2 linked regions of the Callithrix jacchus genome follow. The protein of the gene in region 1 purifies or fractionates together with the protein of each later gene. This does not show direct contact. Links are inferred from orthologs where the notes say so. Each region holds a gene or a part of one and is shown in the gene's direction. Other genes may lie near its edges. The genes, in order: INPP5E and PDE6D.

Evidence for each region.
Region 2: the proteins of INPP5E (region 1) and PDE6D purify together in Homo sapiens (affinity purification with mass spectrometry; 3 studies listed by BioGRID and IntAct, with this or other methods). This does not show direct contact. The link is inferred for Callithrix jacchus from reciprocal best matches to the Homo sapiens genes INPP5E and PDE6D.

The regions. Positions count from the first base shown.
Region 1 is NC_133502.1:184,908,994-184,913,228, reverse strand, and holds the start of INPP5E (phosphatidylinositol polyphosphate 5-phosphatase type IV), read left to right. Parts: upstream 1-1,261; 5' UTR 1,262-1,610; coding exon 1,611-2,428; intron 2,429-4,235. UniProt on the Homo sapiens protein: Phosphatidylinositol (PtdIns) phosphatase that specifically hydrolyzes the 5-phosphate of phosphatidylinositol-3,4,5-trisphosphate (PtdIns(3,4,5)P3), phosphatidylinositol 4,5-bisphosphate (PtdIns(4,5)P2) and phosphatidylinositol 3,5-bisphosphate (PtdIns(3,5)P2).
Region 2 is NC_133507.1:153,172,868-153,176,671, reverse strand, and holds part of PDE6D (retinal rod rhodopsin-sensitive cGMP 3',5'-cyclic phosphodiesterase subunit delta), read left to right. Parts: intron 1-8; coding exon 9-97; intron 98-987; coding exon 988-1,113; intron 1,114-1,828; coding exon 1,829-1,934; intron 1,935-3,804. UniProt on the Homo sapiens protein: Promotes the release of prenylated target proteins from cellular membranes. Modulates the activity of prenylated or palmitoylated Ras family members by regulating their subcellular location.

The DNA.
Region 1 (4,235 bases):
CCGCGGGGTTCGTTGAGTGTCAGTTCACAGCTTTTGAGAGAGGCCCTAGTTACTGAAGTGACTTTCTCTCCTGCTGCAAAGACATTTCCAGCCTTGCTTTCCCTTCTGTGCCCTTATTAGGACCATAGGTGATTCTGTGCACCCAAAGTGCTGGCCACCACCCACCCACCAGGTGTGGCCCAGTCACTGGGAAGGAGCCGACTGTCTGACGTGATGGCTCCGGGTGGCCATCTGGGGTGAAAACGCAACTGTGACGTTTGATTTGGGCTTCATTTTGCGTGTGGGAGCTGCTTAGACTCACTGTTAAGGAGGCTGGATGCCGTTCTCTAAACGGCTGCCCTTCCCCCTTCCGTGAGCACTTTCCGTGCTGCAGGCCATGTGACCCACTTTCTCACCCGGGGGACACTGGCTTAGGGGTCGGTAGCATCTTGGGGACAGCAGCTCTGGCACCTGGTATTTCTGTCCCGATGTCCTGGTGGACTTAGCCCTGTGGAACTCAGAGTTCAACGCTGATGCAAAGCTTTAAGGCTTCTCTGACTGTTCTGAAAACTGTTCATATCCTTGTTATGTCTAAAGAGACAAAAGATTTAAATACTAATAAAACTCAATAGATAATTTCTGCGGGTTGGTGTTTTAAATTTCAGTGTAGAAATGGTAGAATGTGGGATCAGCACGGGCCCTTCCTGGCTTTCTGTTTCACTTGATCATTTAGCAGAGACCCCCAGGATGTTTCACAGGCGTGTCTGCCTGATCCATTTGTCCTTGTCACTTGGAGAAAGGCCTGTCCCTGTGACGGGGCAGCCCGCTCTGTCCCTTGGTCAGCTCGTGTGGTTCCAGGGATCTCCTCCGGTCCGCCCTGCCTGCTGTTCTGGGGTCGACTGCCACGATTTTTGATTCAAGAAGCTTCCTCCAGGCGGAAGCAGCTATTTTTCCTAAATGCGAATTGTTACATTGCAAATTGTTGAATAAAATATTTTGCGCTCCTTCAAGCACCTTCACCTGTGGTTCCCTTTGGTTTGCTAGAAGCGCGTGAGTGCAGGTGTCCGCAGGCCTGGCCCTCGCCCAGGTCCTCGCCGGGACCTGCCGGGTTGCCCGGCTGCGGGTTGGGGGGGCGTGGGAGCCCTGTCCGGGCCCCGCGCGGCGCGGTCCTCCGGCCGCCAGGGGCCGCTGTGGACGGCGCGCGGGGCGGAGACTGGGCGCGGGGGCGGGGCCGGGGACCGGGCGCGGGCCCGCGGCGGTCGTTGCTAGGGCCCAGTCGGGCAGACTCCGCCTCCGCGGGCGCGAGTACGAGGTCGGCTTCGAGTCTGCGGGTCCGGCCGGGCTGCCCGGGTCCTGCCCTCCTCCCAGGCGGCGTTCCGGTCGCGGTCGAGCCTCATCCGCGACAGCGCCCACCCGCCTGTCCTCTCAGGCCCTGCCTGCGGCCCGCCCTGGGATCGGCGTCGGGGAGCCCGGAGGGGCCGCGGTACCCGGGGTCCGGGCGATGCGGCAGCCGCCCCCGCCCCTCCGCGACCACTCCCGGCCCGAGCGGGAGCCGCTGCGGCCTTTCGGCTCCGTGCTGCGCCACCGACCCCGGACCCGGCACCCGTGACCCCTCCCGGGAGGGCCCGACCATGCCGTCCAAGGCGGCGAGCCTGCGGCCCTCGGAGCCGGCCCCGCGGCCGCCGGAAGGGAGGATGCTCCAGGGACCGCTTCCCGGCGCCGACGGAGCGCTGGCCCCGCGCGAGGGGTCCCCACCCGACGCTCCGGGCCCCGAGAGCCCCGCTCTGGGTTGCAGCGCTCCGGCCACGCTCAGCGGCGAGGAAACCCCGGCCCAGGCAGTACCCATCGCCCCGCGGCCCCCCGCCAGGCCTCGGCTGGAGCGAGCCCTGTCCCTGGACGACAGAAGCTGGAGGAGGCGGCGTTTTCGAGGCAGCCAGGAAGACCTGGAAGCCAGGAATGGGACCAGCCCCTCCAGGGGCTCGGTGCAGAGCGATGGCCCCGGCGCCCCCGCCCACAGCTGCTCCCCGCCCTGCCTGAGCGCGTCCCTGCAGGAGATCCCCAAGTCCCGCAGGGTCCCGGGCAGTGAGAGGGGGGGCCCGTCATCGGGGGGTGACCCCCTCTTCGGGGTGGCCAGCAGCGCCCCGAACCTCCTTCACGGAGACGCCACCGTGGCGGGGAGCTCGCCCAGGCTGGCCAGCCTGCTGCCCCCGCGCCCCCTGCCTGCCCTGGGCCTGGACATCGCCTCCGACTCCCTGAGGACCGCAAACAAGGTCGACCCGGATCTTGCAGACTACAAGCTCCGCGCGCACCCCCGCCTGGTGCGCGCCCACAGCAGCCTGGGCCCCGCCCGGCCCCGGAGCCCCCTGGCCTGCGACGACTGCTCCCTTCGCTCGGCCAAATCCTCCTTCAGCCTCCTAGCGCCCATCCGCACCAAGGACGTCCGCAGCAGGTAGGGCGTGGGGCGCAGCGCCCGCGCGGCCTTCGGTGTGGTGTTCAGGAGCAGGCTGCCTGAACCCTGCCAGTGGCTTCCCGTCAGCAGCGTTTAAGATGCCTAAACAGAAAAAACGAAGCCGGTCTCCCGCAGCCACCCGGTCTCCCAGCCCCTCCCCGCAGCAGCGAGCGCCCTTCCCGGCTCTCCCAAACTTCCTAGAACTTTTCCTGTGCGTTTCAGAACCATTCCTGGGCATGATGTCGTGTTGAGGTAGATAAGATGGCACCCTGCATACAATTATGGATCTGGCTGTTTTTCTTTAGTCTTGGGAATTTTTTTTTGAGACCGAGTCTCGGTCTGTCACCCAGGCTGGAGTGCACTGACCCAACCTCGGCTCACTGCAGCCTCCGCCTCCTCGGTTCAAGCGATTCTCCTGCCTCGGCCTCCCGAGTAGCTGGGATTACGGGCTTGCACCACCATGCCTGGCTAATTTTTGTATTTTTAGTAGAGACTGGGTTTCACCATGATGGCCAGGCTGGTCTTGAACTCTTCACCTCGTGATCCACCCAACCCGGCCTCCCACAGTGCTGGGATGACAGGCGTGACCGCCGCACAGGCGGGCCGAGGCGTGGGAATGTTGTCAGCGTGTGTGACCTGCCCTCTCGATGGTTTTTGTTTGTTCCCTGCTCTGTTGCCCAGGCTGGAGCACAGTGGCGTCATCCTGGCTCACTGCAGCGTCCGCCTCCTGGGTTCAAGGGAAGTGATTCTCTCTTGAAGCGATTCTCCTGCCTCAGCCTTCAGAGTATCTGGGATTACAGGCGCCTGCCACCACACCCGGCTAAATTTTGTATTTGTAGTAGAAACGGGATTTCGCCATGTTGGCCAGGCTGGCCTCGAACTCCCGGCCTTGGCCTCCCAAAGTGCTGGGATTACAAGTGCGGGCCCCTGCGCCCAGCCCGCCCCCTTTGTTTTTTCTGCTGCAAAAGGCCCAAGATGTACTGAAGCGTACTTTCCGTCAGCCGCTTGCTCACGGGGAACATTTTGGTGGGCTCCAGCTGGAAGGAGCTGCAGCTGAAAGGAGCTGCAGCTGAACCCATGACCTCTCCCCAGCCTGGTCTTGTTTTGGGATCTTGGTCTGGGGGCCTCTCCCGAGCAGAAGCACCGGTGCGCCTTCGTTTCTTCCCCTCCCCGCTCCATGCTACCCACGTCTTGTCTGTCTGCTGCGGTGGGAGGCAGGGCAGGTGTGAGAAGGGAGAGGTGAGAGCTGGTTTCTGCTTTGGTGTCCGGGGCGCAGTAACCCCTGACGACGGACTGGGAGGCTTGAGACAGCAGAGCTGGACTGTTTCCCAGTTCTAGAGGCCAGAAGTCTAAAATCTCAGCTGCGGCCAGGCCAGCCTCTCTCCAGAGGCTCGGGGAGGGCCCTCCCTGTCTCCTCCTGCTCCCGGGGCCTGGTTGCCCTTGGCTTGTGGCCGCACGCCGCGGTCTCTGCCTCCGTCTTTACCTGGCCTCATTCCCATATCTCTGTTCCCGTCTCTTTTTATAAGGACACCGGTCGTTGAATTTACTGCCCACCCTAAATCCAGGGTGATGTCAAGATCCTTAATTAAGTAAATCTGCAAAGACCCCTTTCCAAATAAGGTCCCACTCCCAGGTTCTGTGGGTCGAGGCAGATGTGGCTTTCGGGATCACTCTTGAGCTCACCGCAGACCCGGGAAGTAGCCTTACCTCCCTGCACCTGGGTTCCTCTGGCAGGCAGGCAGCTCAGCTCTGGCTCCCCCACCACACTCCCCTCCTGCCCGTGGATGGAGCAGCTGCGATCACATAC
Region 2 (3,804 bases), on another chromosome or scaffold:
TTGATCAGAAATTGGATGAACCTTCGGGATGCTGAAACAGGGAAGATACTCTGGCAAGGAACAGAAGACCTGTCTGTTCCTGGTGTGGAGCATGAAGGTACTTTCCAACCCTTTGTCTATACGGGGCCGTCACCAATGCCAGACTAGGGCCTGGGCATCAGAGAGCTAAGTTAACACATACCTAATAGGCTGGTGAGCCCCTCAAGACACAGCATGTTAATCCATGTGTTGTTGACAGTTTCAGTTACTTTCTTTTTTTTTTTTTTGAGACACAGTCTCACTCTATCCCCTAGGCTGGAGTGCAGTCACACAATCTTGGCTCACTGCAACCTCTGCTTCCTGGGTTGAAGCGATTCTTCTGCTTCAGCCTCCCAAGTAGCTGGGACTACAGGCGCATGCCACCACGCCCAGCTAATTTTTGTATTTTTAGTAGAGACGAGTTTCACCATGTTGGCCATCCTTGTCTCGAACTCCCGACCTCAAGTGATCTGCCCGCCTCAGCCTCCTAAAGTGCTGGGATTATAGGCGTGACCCACCACGCCCATCCCACTTCCCAAAACCCCACTTTGTGCTGAAATTTTACCATTAGGACGTATCCAAAGATAACTAAGATCTCAGCTTTTTTCTCCAAAAGAAAATTTTTCATTTTTATCTCCCTCAAATAAAAGAAGGGGTTAAAATCACCAGAAGAGAGTAGAGAGAAGGTACCTATGCAGCCTCCTTCCTGATGAGAGTAGCTAGATGAGGCCCTTAAATGAACAAAATGTGGTGTTCTGTGAAGGTCTAGTATCTTTCAGTTACAGGTGACCAATTGGAGACCTCTGCCTTCAGCCATACAAAGTGTAATGCAGTTACCAAGGCATTATCCAAAATGTAATAAATAAAGTGTTGTCTAAATCAGCTGTAAGAAACTCCCAGAAATCTGAAGCATCATAGTCAGGTGGTTTTCATTTAGAATGGCTTGAACATTTGTTTCTCTCTTATCAGCCCGTGTTCCCAAGAAAATCCTCAAGTGCAAGGCAGTGTCTCGAGAACTGAATTTTTCTTCAATAGAACAAATGGAAAAATTCCGCCTGGAACAAAAAGTTTACTTCAAAGGGCAATGCCTAGAAGGTATTCTGCTGCCTACATGCCTGAAATCAGGGCTTAGGGCAACCAGGACAAAAGGCACACCAGTGAACTAAAGCAGTGCTTTGATAACTCCTTTTACAACTCAGTTTGTGGTAGGATTCCTACACCCTGCAAGACTGGGGATCCCCAGTGAAAACAAACCAAAACAACGCTGGCCAATACAAGGGGCTTTGAGGTCTCTGACACTAGGAGCATGGGTGGTGCCTGGTTTAGGCACTGACGTTGTATTGTGATACGGTCATGGAGGAAGCTGCTGTGAGCAGGGCCTAGTACAGTGCTCTACATACAGTATCATACAGATTTGACTGGCAAGGCCACTCTGCATTGACTTCTCACCAAGCAGTGTAAGAGGGCACATATGCCCCTTTGAGCTAATTCCAGGTGAATTTAGCTATGTATCTATGTATAGTTCACATCTAGCCTACATCTAAGAAAATGCTGCTTATATTGTATCCTGCTTGCTGGTCCTAGTCCTTTAGACCTCAAATCAGGAGAAGCAAGCCTTTGGTGTGGTTCAGACGACAACCTAAAGGAGGCTTCCCTGTCTTTCTTTATGCCTCTGGTCTGGGAGGTTGCTGATAGCTTCCTTTGTTGGTTTTCATGGTAGAAAGAGGCTCACTCTAGAGGAGGGAAACAAAGAGCCCTTAAACTTTATACTGGGGCACCTGCTCACCCAGGCTTTTCCTTCTTCCTTCAGAATGGTTCTTCGAGTTTGGCTTTGTGATCCCTAACTCCACAAATACCTGGCAGTCCTTGATAGAGGCAGCACCCGAGTCCCAGATGATGCCAGCAAGCGTCTTAACGTGAGTGAGCAGGTCTCAGGAAATTATGAAGTGTGTCTAGAAACAGGCATTCCAGGCAGGTGGGACTCCTGATGCCATTCAGTGGGCAGAGAATTCAGCTGAGAAATAGAGTAAAAGGAGCATCCAAGGGTATCTAGGTTTCCAGGTTCCTGACCTTTTTCATATGAAAAAGACAGTGTGATAGAGTGGAAAGTATAAAAAAAACCTTTAGACCAGGTTTAAATTCCTGATTCACCCTGACTACCTGTGTCATCTTGGGCACTAATATACTTTATTTCTCTGAGCCTTAGTCTTTAATCTCTAAACACAGAATTAATAATTCTGTCTTACAGAGGTGTAATGAAGATAAAATGAAATGACATGAAAGGAGACTGCCTTTAATATATACCAAATCTATGTTAATTTGCTCTCATTCCTGATTATCATACTTCTGGTACTTCTGTATTTTGTTTAGATCACCTTTAACAGAATCTGGCAAAGTCCTATTAATAATTCTGTTTTCCCTAGCACTTTGGGAGGGTGAGGCGGGTGGATCACAAGGTCAAGAAATCAAGACCATCCTGGCCAACATGGTGAAACCCCATCTCTACTAAAAATACAAAAATTAGCTGGGCATGGTGGCATGTCCCTATAGTCCCAGCTACTCAGGAGGCTGAGGCAGGAGAATCGCTTGAACCTGGGAGGCAAAGGTTGCAGTGAGCCAAGATTGCATCACTGTACTCCAGCCCAGCGACTGAGCGAGACTCCATCTCAAAAAAAAAAATTAAACTTTTGAGTATAATACTTGGTTACAGTTTTTTGGCGAATAGCTCACCATATTTATAGCTTTACTTCCTCTTCAAAGAATAATTTGTTTGTCCTTTGTCCAAAAATACTGTCAATAACTTCTCACCTCCCATTTTCTGTGGGAAGGATGTTAGTCTCTCAAATGTTACAGTAATAGTACTTTCTAAAGAGTTAGTTCCAAGTTAACTCTTGGCGTGATGGCACATGCCTGTAATCCCAGCTATTCGGGAGGCTGAGGTAGGAGAATTGCTTGAACCCGAGAGGTGGAAGTTGCAGTGAGTCAAGATTGCCCCACTGTTCCAGCCTGGGTAACAGAGTGAGACTCTGTTTAAAAAAAACAGTAGGCCGGGCACGGTGGCTCACGCCTATATCCCAGCACTTTGGGAGGCCGAGGCGGGTGGATCACGAGGTCAAGAGATCCAGACCATTCTGGTCAACAAGGTGAAACCCCATCTCTACTAAAAATACAAAAATTAGCTGGGCATGGTGGTGCACGCCTGTAGTCCCAGCTACTCGGGAGGCTGAGGCAGGAGAATTGCTTGAACCCAGAAGGCGGAGGTTGCGGTGAGCTGAGATCGTGCCATTGCACTCCAGTCTGGGTAACAACAGCGAAACTCTGTCTCAAAAAAAAAAAAAAAAAGAAAAAGAAAAAACCAGTTAGTCCCACAGATAATTGTGTAATATTGGATCATCTCTTTCAACAGGTCCTTTATGAAAGCCATATTGAATCTGTTAAATTGAGGTTATTTACTTTTAGGCTTTTTGTTTTTTGGGTTTTATTTGTTTATTTATTTATATTTTTTAGAAACAGGGTCTTACCATGTTGCCCAGGCTGGACTCCAACTCCTGGGCTAAAGTGATCTTCCTGCCTCAGCCTCCTAAGTAGGTAGGACTACAGGCATGTGCCATCATGCCTGTCTCTACTTTTTAAGTTTTTGGGGTTTCTTTTTCTTTTTTTTTTTTTTTGAGACAGAGTCTCTCTGTTGCCCAGGCTGAATTGCAGTGGCTCAATCTCAGCTCACTGCAACCTCTGCCTCCTGGGTTCAAGTGAATCTCCTGCCTTAACCTCTGAGTTGCTAGGATT